Canis lupus familiaris: one gene and its partners. The protein of the gene in region 1 purifies or fractionates together with the protein of each later gene. This does not show direct contact. Links are inferred from orthologs where the notes say so. Each region holds a gene or a part of one and is shown in the gene's direction. Other genes may lie near its edges. The genes, in order: TOP1, CHD4, CDKN2A and PCNA.

What was found.
Region 2: the proteins of TOP1 (region 1) and CHD4 purify together in Homo sapiens (affinity purification with mass spectrometry; 3 studies listed by BioGRID and IntAct, with this or other methods). This does not show direct contact. The link is inferred for Canis lupus familiaris from reciprocal best matches to the Homo sapiens genes TOP1 and CHD4.
Region 3: the proteins of TOP1 (region 1) and CDKN2A purify together in Homo sapiens (affinity purification with western blotting; 3 studies listed by BioGRID). This does not show direct contact. The link is inferred for Canis lupus familiaris from reciprocal best matches to the Homo sapiens genes TOP1 and CDKN2A.
Region 4: the proteins of TOP1 (region 1) and PCNA purify together in Homo sapiens (affinity purification with western blotting; 3 studies listed by BioGRID and IntAct, with this or other methods). This does not show direct contact. The link is inferred for Canis lupus familiaris from reciprocal best matches to the Homo sapiens genes TOP1 and PCNA.

Annotation. Positions count from the first base shown.
Region 1 is NC_049245.1:29,648,863-29,653,318, forward strand, and holds the start of TOP1 (DNA topoisomerase 1), read left to right. Parts: upstream 1-1,354; 5' UTR 1,355-1,618; coding exon 1,619-1,651; intron 1,652-1,999; coding exon 2,000-2,024; intron 2,025-4,456. UniProt on the Homo sapiens protein: Releases the supercoiling and torsional tension of DNA introduced during the DNA replication and transcription by transiently cleaving and rejoining one strand of the DNA duplex.
Region 2 is NC_049248.1:7,681,416-7,685,764, reverse strand, and holds the start of CHD4 (chromodomain-helicase-DNA-binding protein 4), read left to right. Parts: upstream 1-1,418; 5' UTR 1,419-1,576; intron 1,577-2,155; exon of another isoform or gene 2,156-2,326; intron 2,327-2,442; 5' UTR 2,443-2,520; coding exon 2,521-2,620; intron 2,621-2,896; exon of another isoform or gene 2,897-3,028; intron 3,029-3,322; exon of another isoform or gene 3,323-3,406; intron 3,407-4,349. UniProt on the Homo sapiens protein: ATP-dependent chromatin-remodeling factor that binds and distorts nucleosomal DNA. Acts as a component of the histone deacetylase NuRD complex which participates in the remodeling of chromatin.
Region 3 is NC_049232.1:41,339,850-41,344,420, reverse strand, and holds the start of CDKN2A (cyclin-dependent kinase inhibitor 2A), read left to right. Parts: upstream 1-1,592; 5' UTR 1,593-1,604; coding exon 1,605-1,730; intron 1,731-4,571. UniProt on the Homo sapiens protein: Acts as a negative regulator of the proliferation of normal cells by interacting strongly with CDK4 and CDK6. This inhibits their ability to interact with cyclins D and to phosphorylate the retinoblastoma protein.
Region 4 is NC_049245.1:16,928,550-16,932,695, forward strand, and holds the start of PCNA (proliferating cell nuclear antigen), read left to right. Parts: upstream 1-1,346; 5' UTR 1,347-1,542; coding exon 1,543-1,763; intron 1,764-2,823; coding exon 2,824-2,921; intron 2,922-3,089; coding exon 3,090-3,157; intron 3,158-4,046; coding exon 4,047-4,146. UniProt on the Homo sapiens protein: Auxiliary protein of DNA polymerase delta and epsilon, is involved in the control of eukaryotic DNA replication by increasing the polymerase's processibility during elongation of the leading strand.

The DNA of each region.
Region 1 (4,456 bases):
TAAAATAAAATATTAAGTAAAGTAGTGGAAGTGGTAATAGATATGACAAAATTCACAAAGATCACACTTGAATGATGCGGGTTATGTAGCAGGGCTCCCGTAGGTACTTTAAGAATTGTGCACTTTATACCGAGAGTGAAAGCAAGTATTGTGGGAAGGGGATGTTAGGTGGCGTGTTGAAAGGGCACTCCGGCTACTTCTGGCTAGCAGCTCGTGAGAGGGCCAGAATGGAAGCAGGGGCCGTTGTTAGGAGTGCATTGTGATAATCCACGCAAGAGATAACGCAGACTTCGACAGATGCGTGGGCAGAGGAGGTAGATGGGTTGAACAGACGCAATCAACTGGACTAATTTGAAAGGAAGGAGGAAGATGTCCAGGGTGGAGCTTTTCTAGCTGGGTGGAGGTGTTCTCTGAATCCACACGACAGCTCCAGCTCCGTGGAGGCTATTTTATCAAACTGTGTCAGGGTAAGTGACCTACAACCTCCTGCCTGACATCTACATTCGAAGAACTAAAATCTTAGAGATCAGAGCACACAACACAGTCGGCGCCCCATTAACGGCAGTTCTTTTGCCCTGTTTATCCCCAAGGTCCCATTTCCTTTGGCCCTTTGCCACCACCGTTTTTTTCAGCGTGATTCCTGGTTTACGGGAGATGCTCAATGCTACGTTCATCGAACGAACGAACGAATGAAATTAGGGCTTTTGTGACCGGGACTACACGTACCCGGCAGAAAACTGGAGCTAAACCAGACCTTTGGTTGGTTTAAAAAAAATTTTTTTTTTTTTTTTAAGAAGCGGAGTGAAAATAATCCAGCACGTTGGAAGGCCTAGACAAAGGCTAGGGCGGGAGCTCCTGCCTGCAAGGCGGCATCGGGGTCCGCTTCATGAGCGAAAAAGCGCCGGTGAAAGGTCCGGGGCCCCGAGCGCCCACGGCATTTGCAGCGGCGAGCGGGCGGCAGCAGGGCGGCTGCTCGGCCCGGGGCTCCCGCGGTCCCGCCGCGGTCCCGCCGCGGCCTTTAAAGGCCCACCACGTGGCCCGCGCCGCCGGCCGGGGTCCGGGGGCGGCGTCCGGGCTGCGCCTGCGCACTGCCTCGCAGAGGCGTACGGGGTTCCGAGAAACCGCGCGGGGAGAGCCAGGCAAGATCGCCCCGGGGGGCGGCCGTGGGAGGAGTCGGCTGCTTATGCAAATCACGGCGGCGCGCAGGGGCTTGGGGGCGGGGCCTGCGATGCAAAGCCGGGTCCGCCTTGGGAAGCGCAGGAGGGCGGGGGGGGCGGGGGGGGGCGGGCCGCGCAGCCCTCGGCCTCTTTCCGCGAGTCTCTGACGTCGCCGACGTCTCGTTTAAAAGCGGCCGCGCAGGCGCAGTGAGGCGAAATGCGAACTTAGGCTGTTACACAACTGCTGGGGTCCGCTCTCGCCGCCCGCCCGGCAGTCAGTCCGCGTCGCCGCCGCCGTCGCCGCCTCAGCCGTTCGGGGAGCGTCGGGCCCGCAGCCGCCGCCGCTTCTCCGCGCCTCCGGGAGCCTCCGGGGGCCCCCGTCCGCCCGCACAGGCCGGCCCCGACCGTCTGCGTCTCCTCGGCGCCCTTCGCCGCCCGCCGCGCTCGCCGCTCCGGCCGACATGAGTGGGGACCATCTGCACAACGATTCCCAGGTACGGCTCGGCCGGGTCCTCCTGGCGCCCCGGCCCCGCCCCGCGACCCCCCGCGACCCCCGCGACCCCCGGCGCGGGCCCGGCCGCCTTGACAGGCCGGAGCCCCCGGCCAGGGGCGGGCGGCCGGCGGGGCTGGGCGCGCTAGGCCGCGGGCGGAAGCCGCCGAGTTAGGGACGGCGGGGGGCTGCCCCTTACGGCCGACCCCGGGGCCCCTCCCTCCTCCTCCTCCTCCTCATCCTCATCCTCATCCTCGGGCGCGGGCTGGGCTAGGCCCCCGGCCCCGCGCGCTCGCCGCCCGCGGGCCGGGGGGAGCCCGTTTGTTCATACTGCCTCCTTTTCTCCCTCCAGATTGAAGCGGATTTCCGACTGAATGGTGAGTGTGCCCCCCGCCCCGACCCCGGGGGCCCCGGCGCCGGCCGCCCAGCCCGCGCCGGGCCGGAGCCGGGCAGAGGACAGACATGGCGTCCCAGAGACTAAGTCCCGGCTCCTCGCTCACCGGCCCCATTGTTCCCATCGGGCCGCCTCTGGACCCCCTTTCCGGGGACCCCAGCCCCCCCAGACCGCGGCCTTCCCAAGAGGGGGCAACGGAGACCCGGGGTCGCCCGCCGCCGGCCTTCGGGCAGCCTTTGTCGGCCCGGATTCCTCCCGGGAAAGTCGCCTTGTCGACAGTCGGGACTTAGTCTCTGCGCCATTTTCTTTTTCTCCTCTCCTTTCTGTGCCTGTGTGTCTCTTTCTCTCCCTCCCTCGGCTCCTTCCTTGAGCTGCCCAGAAAGAGCTTTCTGCAGAGCAAAGCCGTGGAAATCACAGACCTCACCGGGGAGGGAAGGGTGGGAGACTGAATGGCTACTATTTTTTTTCCCCAAGGAGAACTTTATTTTGGGGGGTTATTGCCTTTCTGCTTCTCGTTTGTTTCCTTTTCTGTTTCCAGAATGAAAGCTACCCTTCGGCAACTGTTGATTTGGGGGGCGGAGGGGGGCGGGCGGCGGCGGCGGTGGTGGCGGCGGCGGTGGTGGTGGGGGGGAGGAGAAGGTGAAGGGTGGGGGTGTAAGAATTTTATGATGGGAATTACGGTCCTAAAACTAAAGCCACCCTTTGTGGAGTTTTTCATATTTTGAGGTTGTTTTTCCCCCAAGTTGTGTTCTTTGCAAAGGTAGTACTAGTACCTCCCTTCACAAAGTTTGCAAGTTCTCCGTGGGCCCCTCCAAAGTAAACGTTGGACTCGGGCATATAGATTTAAAAAAAAAATTTTTTTTAAGTATTTCTGACTAGAACTTTTCGTGATGGCTGAGGTTCCTAATGCAGTGTTTTGTTTCTCTTTTCTTGGTTTTTGTTGTTGGGTTTTTTTTTTTTTTTGGCTTTTTTGTTTTTATTTTATTTTATTTATTTATTTATTTTTAAGAACCTCAGTTTAGTGTACTTGTCAGGAGAAAAGGTTGTGGAGCATCTCATCTGGACCTGGTGTGTTGGCCTTTTCTTTCGGGCCATGGGAAAGAAAAAAAGATTTTATTTATTGAAACAAAGAGTAGTCCGCATCCACCCTTGTTTCCTGTTCTTTTTTCAGGAGCCGCTGTTTTTCAGGAACCAAGAGCTAGCTTGCTTTTCCTAGATCTTTATGCTTTTGACCCCTTTTCAGCCATATCAAGGCATTTATTCTTTGAGTATTTCCACTTCAGTTATTCAATGAAGATTCCCCCAATAAAAAGCTCACCCTGCGGGCTTTTCAACAATCTTATTGAAGGAGAAGGTACCCTCTGTTGTGTGCTGGGAATTCCCACTGATTCTGATGGTACATAATCCTGCTCAATTGAGTTCGGGTTCCGGGAACCTCTCCAATGGGAGAAGCTGATGAGTAGATTTTCTGATGTTGTAATCAGCAGTCCATCGTGTTAGCCTGCTCTATTGAGAGCAGCCTTATGTTCAGATTTGTAGTGGGGCATCTAGCAAGAGATGTGATTCTGCAAGGAAGGGTTGTAGGTTAAATTAAAGTAGCATTTCTTGAGCACCTAATATGTGCGAAACACTGTGTAATGCTAGATCTGAACCTTGGGTCACAATGCTTCTCTCGCCCTCAATCCCGTCTGCTGGGAGAGACATAATTAGTTAATTATAAGGTAGGTGCGGAGGTATATGTATACTCAAAATGCTTTGAGAAACTAGGAGAATTAATTTTGTCTGGGGGTGGGGAAATTTCTTAGAGGAGGTGACTTCTGAGCTGAGTGTTGTGCAAGACTAGGTGCTGAGTGTCAGGGGTTGGAGTATTTCTTAACTAGTGTTTAGCTAACCTATCAGGATTTTGAAGGGGCGAGGAGTCCTCTGCAGTTCAGAAAACCGCAGAGGTATAAATGTTTCCTTGGGATGTGGAAGCAAAGAAAGGATGTGGCAGATGAGGATGTAAGGAGTCCTTTTGACCTCTCTTGGAGGAAGGTAGGAGCTTAACACAGAAAAAAGTGTTCTTTTGACTTTAAGATTGGGCTGAGTAGGTTGTGTATTTAGCAATGAAGCAAAGTTTAGTCCTTTCTCCTCAGAAAGTTAATCTCCATGGATCTCACTTAAATTATGCAAAGGAACGATTGAATATGTGATGATTGTGGGCTGGGTAAATTATTGATCTTTAATGCCATTTTTATAGATACCAAAGGAAACTGAGTATATTGACTTTTAGAATGTGATCACTTGTGATTGCAGTAATTGTTCATATTTATTGAATGCTTACTGTCTGCCTGGCATGACGGATCTCAGCTCTTTTCATGGATCATCTAATTTAATTCTTGGAAGAACCCTATGAGTTAAGGTACTATTATCTCC
Region 2 (4,349 bases), on another chromosome or scaffold:
ACTCCTTTCTAAAGATTGGAGTTTATTATGACTAGGGGAAGCTGTGGGGTGAATTAAACTTTATGTAAATGGTTCATCTGGTCAGCCTGGTATTTGGCTGGTCTTACTCAATATTTAAGAGCTGGAGCTGGAGGTAAGCATCTGGAGAATAACTGGATTTGGGTGGGATTGGGTGGGGCCCTAGGTTGACTGGCAGTTCCTGAGAGTCTAGAAATGGTCTGAGGGAAGGTAGGGCTTGCCCTAGACATCAAGAGGTTTTATGCCAGGATACTGCTTTGGCCCAGAAAGGGATAAAGGTATGTACAAGTTGGGGTGGGCACAGGGCAGTGCGGGTAGCAGCCTGCTTCACAACCTTGTGGCTCTGGGTGTTAGAATAGACCTGATGGCCTGAGGAGGTGGGGGAGGTATGAATGTGAATATTATGGGATGCCTGGCTGGAAAGGTATAGGGGTGGTGGCTGGCGATGAAGCATTATGGGATGTGCTGGGAGTATTAGAGTATGTCTGGTGGACCTCGGGCTCCTTGACATTATTATGGGATATCAAGGTGTGGGTGGGAGAGTAAAATTATGGGATATCTTTCCAGCGTTAGAGGAAAGGAGATTGGATGTCCATCTGTAGGGTGACAGTGGGGCTGCCGATCATTAGAGGATATCTCTTTGACAGAGAAGAGGTTACTATGGGCTGTGGAGTTAGAACGCATGTATGAAGGCTGAGGGTGGTGGTGTGAGGATCTAGACCCTAGTCTGCAGGGGCTGAGGGCAGCTCAGGCTAGGGGGTTGGTTATTATGGGATGTCAGTGTAAAAGTGGGAAACTGATTATTACGGGATGTGTGTGGGAGGAGGCCGAAGTGTCCGTTGTAGTACTGGGGGGGGGGGGGCGTTGTTTCTGACTATTATGGGATATCAAACTGGGGGTGGATGAAGAGTGGTTATTATGGGATGTCTGTGGGGGATGGGGAATGAGTATTATGGGCTGTGAGGCTTAAGTGCTGGGAGGGGTGCTTATTATGGGATGGCCATGGGGAAGGAGAGGTGACGAATTATTATGGGATGTTAGCATTAGGGCCAAGAGTGAAGAAGTTGGCAAAGGATGGCTATTATGGGATGTCTGAGGTGGGGAAAGGGTTAGTTGCAAAGGTCTGCAATATTATGATATGTCAACAACCTTAGCATATAGGTGTATGGAGTGTATGTGTGTGTGGGGTGGTGGTGGTGGGGTGTCCGTGTGTATTATGGGATGGCCGGAGGTGGGTGGTTGCCCGGGTGACACGCGCGCGCGCGCTCGAAGGGGGCGTGGCCAATGGTTGCCGGAGCGACGAGGGGGCGGGGGTTGCCCGGGAGACCTAAGGAGGAGGGTGGCGGTAGTGGAGGGGGGGTTGGAGTTGGTTGAGGTTATTATGGGCTGTCCGTGGGGGGGCGGGGCCTGTGCGGTGGGATTTCCCGGCCGGTGTTTCGGGCCCTTTAAGAGGCGACGCCGGAGCCGGAGCCATTTTCCCCCCTTCGGCCGCGGCGAGGAGGAGCCGGAGCGGGAGTGACACCGGGCCGGACCCAGCGCGACCTGCGGCGGCTCCGGGGTGAGGAGAGCGCGGGGTTCCTAAAGAGACGCCCCTCTGAGCCTGACCAGCCCCCAAGCTCATCCCTCCATCCACCCCTTCCTCAGATGTCCCGGACTCGCGGACCGCCCCCTGCCCAGAGGAGCCGACCCTTCCTTTTCCTTGCCTGCAGGGCGCCCTGCCCCCCCCGCCCCCGCCCTGAGCCGGCCCGAGTCCTGCCCCCCGCGGCTCCCACCTCGGGCTGGGTCTCCCACAATGCCCGGCGCCCGCCCCCTCGCCCTTTGCTCACTTGCCCCCCGGGACACGTGGCCCGGCCCCCTGCCCGGTGGGCGCTCCCTCGCCCCCCGCGTCCCAGCCTCCAGCCCCCTGGAGCGCCCGAGCCTCCACGCCCCCTCGGCCCCGTGGCTCCTCCGGAGAACCTGAGTTGTCCCAGAGGACAGCCTTTGGAGAGCTGCCCTGTCTGGGGACTGGCCCCTCCCCAGGCGCAGGGAGGCGCCCCCCCACCCCCAAGTGACCTTGTGTCCCCGAGCGCCTCGCTGCCTGCCGCCTCCCCCGACCCCCCCGCGCCGCGGCCACTCGGACCCCCCTCCCCCGACATACCCTGCTCGGTCCAGCCTGGTTTCTCCCCCTCCCCACGCCTGCACCAGCCTGCCCTCGGGGGCGTCGCTCCCGCTCATCTGGGGGGCTCCAGTTGGGGAGCCGGCTTCCGGGCTGCCCTCGAGGAGTGTGGAACTAAGTTCAGCCTGAGTGGTTCGGGTGCCCTGCTAGGGTGGCTGGGGTTGGGGGGGCCGCTTTGGTGGTGGGCGGAAAGAGCGGGTGGGTGTGGGGGAGGGGGACAGTGCGCGTCACTGACTGTTCTCTCTTTCTTCCCCCCCTCCCCCGCACAGTGACTCGGGCCAGTGTAGAGGGCCCCAGGCCGCAGGCAGGAGCAGCTGGGCCAATTCCCTGGCCGGGAGCGGAAGGGGATGGCGTCGGGCCTGGGCTCCCCGTCCCCCTGCTCCGCGGGCAGCGAGGAGGAAGATATGGATGCACTTTTGAACAACAGCCTGCCCCCACCCCACCCAGGTAAATCTTCCCCAAGGGCCCTGGGCAGGAAGGAGGCATTTGGGCCCTCCCTAGCGACTCTGGTGAGGCAAGGTTGAGTTTCTCTCTCTCCGTGCAGAGTCTGAGGTGGAGGGCATCCGAAGGGAGTGGTTCCCTTCTGCGGAGCTCTTGTGGGAGGGGGTGGAAGCCATGTGCCTCCTGGGCTCTGGGACCGAGATGCAAGCTTGCTGCACTGTCTGTTTTAAGGAATGCTATGCAGTTCCCAGTTGAGGGAGCCCTCTGGTCTGGAGACCTTACCTTGTGTGGGTCCACGGAGGAATGCAGGTGGCTGGGACCCGTTGGAGGCGGGGTGGGGGTTCGGGTGGGTGTCGAGGATTGCATGTTGAAGACCAGCCCGGCATCTGTGTTAGCAGGATCCTGTGGTTGCTGCTGTGGAAAGGAGAGAGGGAGTGCTGGTTACTCTCTATCTGATTATTTTTAGCTTCTGATCAGTTACCGGTTTTCTGTGATGTCTCAACTGTGAAGTTTGAATTGCGCTCCTCAGCTGGGATGTAGAGAGCTTTTAGCAGGCAGATTGCTGGAATGTTTCAAATGGGGAAATGATGGGGGCTTGGGGTAGGATGTCACACCCTGAAGGATATACTAGGGAGGGGCAAAAGAAGGGAGGTGACACCCTGGGCAACCCCCCCCCCCCTTCCCATAGCAAATGGACATGATACAGACTTTTTTCCTAGAGGCTTCTGCTTTGGTGCAGGGAGCCTAGGGTTTGGGCTGGTGTCATGAAGTGTTTGTGTAGGTGTGTTGGGGGTTGTTCTGTGTTTGTGGGTGGCTCCTGGGACTGGCCAAACCCGTATGGTTGTAATCATCCTGCCTGATTGGAGAAGCTCTTGTCTCTTCTCAAATGGTGATTGATGTCATGCATCTGAGTGGATGTCTCTCTCTTGTCTGTCTTTCCTTTTTCACAGCCCGTAGCTAAGTCACCTACTTGTTTCCTTGACCTTTTTTTCAAGCTTCTTTTTTTTTTTTTAAATGTCATTTCTTTATCCTTCTGCTTATCTTTATTTTCGCTTTAATTCTGGAGCCTGCTGGTCGTGTTTTTGTTTCCCATCAAACATCTTTCACTTCTGCCTTCTCTCTCCTTAGCTGTAGCAGTAAGTTGAGGTCTGGGAAAGATGTTCCTACATTTTGGTGTTTTCTAAGTTGGAAGTCTTCAAGTCTTAGTTTGAAACTGAGGCCACTTAGTAAAGGGGTCAGTCTTGTTGCTGAGTCTTCAGCTGTTGGGATGAGAAACTTAGGCTCGAGTCTCATCACTGTGTAGACCAAGGTGGCAAATTTCTGTACTGTTGCCCAAGGTGGGGGTGGGGTAGCAGCATTGGTAACATGATCTGACTCTCTCTGTGAGGGGCGAGAGAAGTAGTAGTGCTGTCCAGCCAATGTTGGTTCCACATTTTGGCTTCCCATTGGCCCCTTGGGCTGGGGCTGCCCCTGTGTTGATTGGGAGCAGTGCAGGCTCCCAGGGTGAACTCTGCCCCAAGCTGTAGCATGACCCAGTTTTTCCACTTGCCACACCCCATTCCTGCCCCTTTCCCAAATCTTCTTTTATGTCTCAGCCACTTTGAATGTTGTCTCTGTGCATTATCTGCTTGAGAAGTTTGGGGGTCTTATGTGGATGGGTGTTCCCTTCACCTGCACGGGTTTGTCCTGGTGTCCAGCTTTCACGGAGGTGAGGAAGATGAGGAACTGAGAGATG
Region 3 (4,571 bases), on another chromosome or scaffold:
GACGCCCCCAGATCAGCGTGTGCGAGCGTCTCTGGCCTCGCGGGGCCAGCGCGCCCGTCCGGGTGTAGAACGCTGGGTGGGAAAGGGAAAGTTACCTCTCGGGGCGCCTCGGCGTGACCGCAGGACCCGGCCCCCGCAGGACCCGGCGAGGAACAGCGAGCTGCTGCTTCTGAGTAAAATAGGAAGCAATATTTTGTGACATGAAACACCCTGGTTCGAACTTGCTAGTTAGAAATCCTGTGCGGCTTTAAAATGCGGAGGGTTTGTACAGCGGAGGACGGAAACGAGAGAAATGTCGCTTTAATCGGGTTAACTGGCTCCGAGACCGCGTGCGCCTCCGCTGGGGGGGGGGGGCGATGGGCGGCGGGGGGAGGGGGGTGATGGGAGACCGGGAAGGGGCGGGGGGGGGCGATGGGCGGCGGGGAAGGGCGGGGGGGTGGTAATGGGCGACGGGAAAGGGGCGGGGGGGCGATGGGCGGCGGGGGGAGGGGGTGATGGGCGACGGGGAAGGGCGGGGGGGGGTGGTAATGGGCGACGGGAAAGGGGCGGGGGGGGGGCGATGGACGGCGGGGGGAGGGGGTGATGGGCGACGGGGAAGGGGCGGGGGGAGGTCGATGGGCGGCGGGGGGAGGGGCGGGGCGCCATGGGCGGCGGGGGGAGGGGGCGACGGGCGACGGGGGAGGGGCGGGGGGGCGATGGGCGAGGGGGGCGCAATGGGCGGCGGGGGGAGGAGCGATGGGCGGCGGGGGGAGGGGCGGGGCGCAATGGGCGGCTGGGGGAGGGGCGACGGGGGAGGGGCGGGGGGGGCGACGGGCGACGGGGGAGGGGCGACAGGGGCGCAAGGGGCGGCGGGGGGAGGGGTGATGGGCGGTGGGGGGGGCGGGGCGCAATGGGCGGCCGGGGGAGGGGGCGACGGGCGACGGGGGAGGGGCGGGGGGCGACGGGCGACGGGGGAGGGGCGACAGGGGCGCAATGGGCGGCGGGGGGAGGGGTGATGGGCGGCGGGGGGGGGCGGGGCGCAATGGGCGGCCGGGGGAGGGGGCGACGGGCGACGGGGGAGGGGCGGGGGGCGACGGGCGACGGGGGAGGGGCGACAGGGGCGCAATGGGCGGCGGGGGGGGGGGCGGGGCGCCATGGGCGGCCGGGGGAGGGGGCGACGGGCGACGGGGGAGGGGCGGGGGGCGATGGGCAGCGGGGGGAGGGGCGGGGGGGCAGCGCCCGGCTCGGGGAGCGCAGGCGGGGCGGAGCGCGGAGCGACGCGGCGCGAGGGCAGCTGTGGGGCGGCCCGCGGCTCCCTGCCCCCGCGGCTCGGTCGTGCTCCCCTGGGGGAGCCGTGGAACCGAGACGGCAGAGGCCACGCGTGGGGCGACTCGTTTCGCAGCGAGTTGAGAGCGGAGGGCGCTCTCCTGGATTGAAAGAGTCGGGTTGGAGGAGTCGAGGGGCCGAGTCTGGGGGCCGCTTCCGCCGGCCCCGGAGGAGGGGAGAGGAGGGGAGAGGAGGGGCGGGCGGGTCACGAGAGGCTGGGGCGGGCCGCTGGCGCCCGACGGCCGCGGCGGGAAGGAGGGAGGGAGGGAGGGAGCCGGGGGCCCGCGCTCGGGAGCAGCATGGAGCCCTTCGCCGACTGGCTGGCCTCGGCGGCAGCCCGGGGCCGCGCGGACGAGGTGCGGGCGCTGCTCGCGGCGGGGGCGCCTCCCGACGCGCCGAACCGCCTGGGTCGGAGCCCGATTCAGGTGGGTGAGCGCGCGGGCGGCGGGAGGAGGCGGTGGCGGACGACTGTGCGGCACAGGGTTTGCAAGGGAGTCCTCCAGGTCTGCCGGTCGCTGGTCGGGGACGGGGAGACTCCCTGGTGAGGTCCCAGGTGGTGTCTGGAGCCCGGAGCTTCCAGTGTCCGCGTCCTGGGGGCAGAGGAAGCCGCGGGGGGGGGGGGGGGGGGGGGGGGAGGGGAGATGGGGAGGCACGTGCAGGGCAGATGTCTGGTCTGAGATCGGGAGGGGGGAGCCTGTTCGTGTTAATATAGTCCGAGGTGTGCTCTCCATCTGATACACAGTTACGAACGTAAAGCAAGATTTTAAAGAAATGGAAGATTTGTTGGGCCCACTAGGCCGGAACTCATAGACCCCTGAAGGGAGCGGATCATCTTCTGTGCTAGCGGCGATTGTACTGGAAACCTTCTGCTGTGTAAATTGAATAAATATTCATTGAAATTGTTCAGAAGCAACTGCATGTTGTGTTTATTTTTACTTTAACCGTGTATGGCACATCTGTGCTTGTGAGAATTTAGGGAATACAGACAGACATAGATGAAGAAAAACAGTGTGATCTTGCCTGAGATAATGCCGTCGATTTAGCTACCATTTTGAGGGTACCTCCTATTATTTTTGTTACTTTTGACTTGCTATAGATTAACGCAGTTGAGAGAGTTTTGGATTCCTCACGGTTCAGAAATGTGGTTTCTTCCCTCCTGACTCCGGTTGTGGGTGGGGGTGGGGGTGCTGGGTATTTGCTGTTGTTGTTTGCCTTCACTAAATTCCTAAATCCAGGCTAAAAAAAAAAAAAAAAAAAACCCAAAACCAAAAAACCCTATTTCTCCCTGTTCGTCACCACCCTAGTTTTATTCCCAGTGTTGACAATGATTTTGGATTGTGAAAAATAAAATGTATGTGAAACAAAGGCTCACTGCACAAATTCAAGCATAACAAGACAAAGGAAAGTAACTGTACCTGCAATTGCACAGATTTCACAAGTCATCTTCCTTTCCTGAAACAATGCTACATAGGATAAATTTTATATACCTTAACATACATATATAAAAATAAAAACAAAATGCCTTAAAACTTGAGATTATTTGGGATTTTAAGTGTGAAGGGATTTTGAGAGTAGAGAGGTTGTGTGATGGTAGAAGAAAACCATGAGTCCTTTAAAAAGAATGCATGCATGATTTCTCATTTCTCTAAGATTTTGCTCAGAGACTGAGTGTGGCCTTGAAGTTTGGAATATGTTTGAAGAGACTTTGTTTAAATACAAAAAGAAAAAAGTTGGATAATTAGTTTTAACAATTTTTTTAATAGGGAAAATAAGAACATAGAGAAAAGAGTGCATGGTTTTGGTTTAGAACCCTAACCAACCTTGTGTTTAATACAAAACTAATTAGTTTATAGAAAATTATAATTACTTTAAATATCTTATCAAATGGATTTAAGCACTCTACAAATATTCATTTAATCGATTCTTTTTCTTTCAGCTTTGGATTGCTATTTAGATTTAAGTATTTAAGTGTTAGGTTTCTTTCATACTTTAATACTGCAAAATATAATGAAAACCTTTAAAATCAGTTAAGTGTATGTTACCTTACATGGGAAAAGAGGCTTCGCAGATGTTCCTTGGCTTAGAGAAATAATTATTTACGTTTAATGCAGAATGTAATTAAAAATAATTCCTTTTTATACAGTCACTATAAGTCTAGCTAATATAATCAAATAGTGGTTAGCCTAAAAGAAAATTATCTACCACTGCCATCTGCCATGTAACACTCAAATTGTAAGGTTGCTGTGATTGTAGATACTATTTAAAAAATCCTCTTTGGTAATGACTTTGTTTCAAAGACGATTTATCAAACAAATGAAGGGAGCACCTCCTGTTTAATGAACTCTCAGAGTATATAAACTTGGGAAGTTTCTTAGTTTCCTATTTCTGCTGTAACAAATTACCACAACTTTTGTGTCTCAAACCAACATAAATTTATTATCTTATAGTTCTGGAGGTTGAAGTCTAAAATGGATCCACAATGCTGCATTTCTTTTGGAAGTTCTAGGGGAGAATCTGTTTCCAACTTCTAATGGCCATCAACATTCCTGTGCTCATGGTCCCTGCATCTTCTTCTCTCTGACCTCCATTCTTAGATCTTTCTTCTGTAACCTCATAAGGGAATTTGTGATTACATTGGGCCCATCCTGATAATCCATGTTAATCTCTCTCAAAATCCTTAATTTAATCACATCTGGGAAGCCTCTCTTCCCATGTAAGGTATTATATTCACAGCTTTCAAGTGTTAGGTAGTACACATCTTTGGGGACATTCTTCAGCTCATTATGGGAAGGAATTTGGGGGCTGGTTAGAGAACCCTCATTTTATACTTAGAGTGAATTTTAACATTCTGGTAGGCTAAGTGTATATTAAAAGTTTTTTAGGAATTAAAGATTTGTTGTTGTTTTCACTTTCACTTTTTAACAATTATTATGTCCTGGGCTTGGATATACAACAGAAAACCATACAAAATCTCTGGGCCTTATATAATTTTGTATCAAAATGGGTGGGGGGGCTATAGGAGGTTAGGCTATAGTTCAAGCCAGTTCGTCTCTCACTCTTTTGCTATTGTCATGCCTCTGACAGACAATAGGGTGTGGCTGGAATTCCGCAAAAGTTTGGAGAATATAATGGAATTCAATGTGGACAGAAAAATGGAATAAGCAGAACTGTCTAAGGGAGGTGGTAACTGAAAGCAAATAGAATAAATAGACGCCCGTGGCTTGTAGCGGCATCTGCATGGGGTAGGGGCTTCACAAATAGGTTCT
Region 4 (4,146 bases), about 13 Mb from region 1:
GATCCCTGGGTGGCACAGCGGTTTGGCGCCTGCCTTTGGCCCAGGGCGGGATCCTGGAGACCCGGGATCGAATCCCATGTCGGGCTCCCTGCATGGAGCCTGCTTCTCCCTCTGCCTATGTCTCTGCCTCTCTCTCTCTCACTGTGTGCCTATCATAAATAAATAAATAAATACATAAATAAAATTAAAAAAAAGAACCTGTTTAAAAAAAAAAAAAGGGGGGGGGGTGGGGGAAAAAAGGTGGGGGGAGGGGACGCCTAGGTGGCTCAGCGGTTTAGCGCCGCCTTCAGCCCAGGGTGTGATCCTGGAGTCCCGGGATCGAGTCCCACGTCGGGCTCCCTGCATGGAGCCTGCTTCTCCCTCTGCCTGTGTCTCTGCCTCTCTCTGTCTCTGTGTGTCTCTCACGAATATCTTAAAAAAAAAAAAAAAAAAATTTACAAATGGGGACACCTGAGTGGCTCAGTGGTTGAACATCTGCCTTTGGCTCAGGGCCTGATCCCGGGGTCCTGGGATTGAGTCCTGCATCAGGCTCTGTGCAGGGAACCTGCTTCTCCCTCTACCTACGTCTCTGCCTCTCTGTATCTCTCATGAGTAAATAAAATATTTAAAATCTTATTTATTTGAGAGAGAAAACATATTGGGGAGGGGCAGAGGGAGAAGGAGAGGTAGAAGCAGACTCCTCCCGGAGCCAGGAGCCAACCTTGGATCTAGATCTCAGGACCCTGGGGTCATGACCTGAGCCAAAGGCAGAGGCTCCACTGACTGAACCACCCACGTGCCCCCTGTAACAAGTTTTTAATATGCAGATCAGAATTTTCACGCAAATAAGCTTAGATTTTTAAAACAAGATTGCTGATATCTGTATTTAGGAAAATATTGTAGATTGCAATCTTTCAGTGGTCAGCTTAGCAACATTTATCAACACATCACTTCTACGATAGCAAAAATAAAATGCACTTTTAAAACAGCTGTATTCCTCGGGCCGCCAGGCGTCTTCCTCCCGGTGGGCTGGATTTGCCTTTCACTTTCACGGCCAAAGCCTTTCTAGTCCTGAAGCGGGAGGTTGAGGAGGCAGCACAAGGCTGTAACTCAAAGAACCCCAACCTGGGTCTGGCCGTCACAAGCCCAGACTTGTTCAGCGCCCGGCGTCGCGAGCGGGGTGGAGAAGGCAGTCCCGCGGGAGGCGGAGGCGCCCCGCTCCTGCCCCGCCCCTGCCCCGCCCCTGCGGCCGACCCTTCAGTGGACGTTCAGGGAGGACGGGCTGGAGCGGAGGCCAAGGACACTATTGGCCCCGGAGTCCGTCCGCCAGGGAGTGGGCGGGGCAACGTGGTGACGCGCCACGCGCGGCGCAGAGGCGGAGCGCGCGCGCCAGCAGACGCGGCGCTATTAAACGGTTGCAGGCGGAGCGGGCGGGCGGTGATCGTCCCGGCTCCCCGGCCCTCGCCGCTGCGTTCGCCAGCTCGCTCGTACCCCGTGACGCCAAGCCGGCTACAACTTCCTCTTCGTCTCCGCCTGCAGCTGTGTCGTTGTGACTCTGCCACCATGTTCGAGGCGCGCCTGGTCCAGGGCTCCATCCTGAAGAAGGTGCTGGAGGCGCTTAAGGATCTCATCAACGAGGCCTGCTGGGACATCAGCTCGAGCGGCGTAAACCTGCAGAGCATGGACTCCTCCCACGTCTCCCTGGTGCAGCTCACTCTGCGCTCCGAGGGCTTCGACACGTACCGCTGCGACCGCAACTTGGCCATGGGTGTGAACCTCACCAGGTGAGCCCCTGGGGTCGCCAAGGGCCGGGCTCTCTCGCACCCCCACCTCCGGCTCTTGGCGGGAGCGCCTGCGAGCTAGGTCCTCATTGGCTGGCGTGGGCGACCCGCGCCTTCTCATTGGCCTGCGGCGCCCAGGGGCGGGATCTAGCGGAGCGCGCGGTTCCGAAAGCCCGCGCTGGCAGCCGCGCGAACCGGCGTTTTCCGCGCCAAAGTCACAAAGCGGGTGGTGGCGGGAAAATGACGGGCTTCTTCGTGGTGCCGGGAAAAGACTTACACAGCACCTTGGCCACTAAGTGCCGGCGGCCTTGGATGAGAACCCTTTGGCTTGACTGCCTTTAACCGCTTTATAATGTGCCCGAGTTACGTCACCCTACCTAGGGACCATCGGTTGATTCTGGTCCTTTATTATTAGGAAGTTGCAGTGAGCACCCTAAGTTCCTGGACTTAAAATTTCTCCAGGGCAGTGGCTTTCAACTCTTTGATCACTACATGTCTAGTACATGAACATGTTTAAAGATTTTATTTATTCGTGAGAGACGCAGGCAGAGGGAGAAGCAGGCTCCCTCAGGCTCCACATAGGGAGCTCTATGTGGGACTCCATCCCAGGACCCCGGGATCACGACGTGAGCCAAAGGCAGGCGCTCAACCACTGAGCCACCCCGCCTTCCAAAAACATGTTCAAATATGAGGCTTATGAGAAATAGTTGACCTCGACTGCATGCAGTGTGTATTAATAAGTATCTTAGCTCATTTTTCTTGACCGTCAGGACCCAATAATTTGCTTCGCGCACCAAAGGGATTTGCAATTTGCAATGCGTGAAATGCTGCTCTTTTATTTGTATCTAGAAGTGAAATTGCTCATGGTAGGCTGTGTGCCTGTTTAAGAATAAATACTGCCAAATTGGGTTACAAAATGGCCGGATTAGTTTACCTCACTCACCAATTCCTCAGACGACCTTGGTAAATAAAGATGGTAACTCCTTGTTTTAATTGGGTCAGAAATCTTAACGATTCTGAGAACGTTGTGGCAATTTTAAATCCTGTGTCTTCCGTGTTCTAGCATGTCCAAAATACTAAAATGTGCTGGCAATGAAGACATCATTACACTAAGGGCTGAAGATAATGCGGACACCTTGGCACTAGTATTTGAAGCTCCAAGTAGGTGATACTCTTCTACTAAATTATATTAGAGGAAATTTAAATGCAGTGTAAAAGATTTCTCTTAGTTGTGAAAAACTTAAGAAAATGTTCCTAATGATTGTAAAGCTTATTAATGGCATAGTTATAAACTTACATACTTTTCTTCAATCTGCTTTCTTTTGGTAGATCAAGAAAAAGTTTCAGACTATGAAATGAAGTTAATGGATTTAGATGTTGAACAACTTGGAATTCCAGTGAGTATTAAGAGTAGACTTTAAAGCAGTGTTAGGGGATCCCTGGGTGGCTCAGCGGTTTGGCACCTGCCTTCCGCCAGGGGCATAATCCTGGAGTCCCAGGATTGAGGCTCCCTGCATGGAGCTTGCTTCTCCCTCTTCTTGTGTCTCTGCCTCTCTCTCTGTCTCTGTGTCTTTCATGAATAAATAAATAAAATCTTAAAAATAAAAATAAAGCTGTGTTAGCAGAAATTCATTCAGGTGAGGTTTATCAACATAAGAAATGTTGAGATGTTTAAAATCCTTACTATCTTATCTTCTTGTTTTGTTTTGGTAAGCAGTTGGGCCTGCTTGCACACGCATCATCATTTGTAGGCCATACCCTAATGTCCTCTTGATTTAGCCCTGGAGGGGGATTTAGGGGGAGGCTCTTTTCTCCTGGATAGTGCATTTATCATTAAAGATTTAAACTTTAATTTTAGTTTTCTTAGTATGATTATTCTTATGACATATTGTTTTAAAAATTTTTTTTTAATTTTTATTTATTTATGATAGTCACAGAGAGAGAGAGAGAGAGAGAGAGAGAGAGGCAGAGACACAGGCAGAGGGAGAAGCAGGCTCCATGCACCGGGAGCCTGATGTGGGATTCGATCCCGGGTCTCCAGGATCGCGCCCTGGGCCAAAGGCAGGCGCCAAACTGCTGCGCCACCCAGGGATCCCCATACTTGTTTTATATCTGCATTTATTTTTTGAGTTAGAGATTATGTTATGGAAATACACAATGAGTGATATTTTAAAGTAATCAGAAAACCTTAAATTCTGAATTCTTGTCTAAATGCTGAGGCTTCAGAAAAATGAGAATGCCAAATTTAGTTTCCAGCAAGTGAACTCTAATTTTTCATTTTAACAGGAACAAGAATATAGCTGTGTGGTAAAGATGCCTTCTGGAGAATTTGCACGTATATGCCGAGATCTGAGTCACATCGGAGATGCTGTTGTAATTTCCTGCG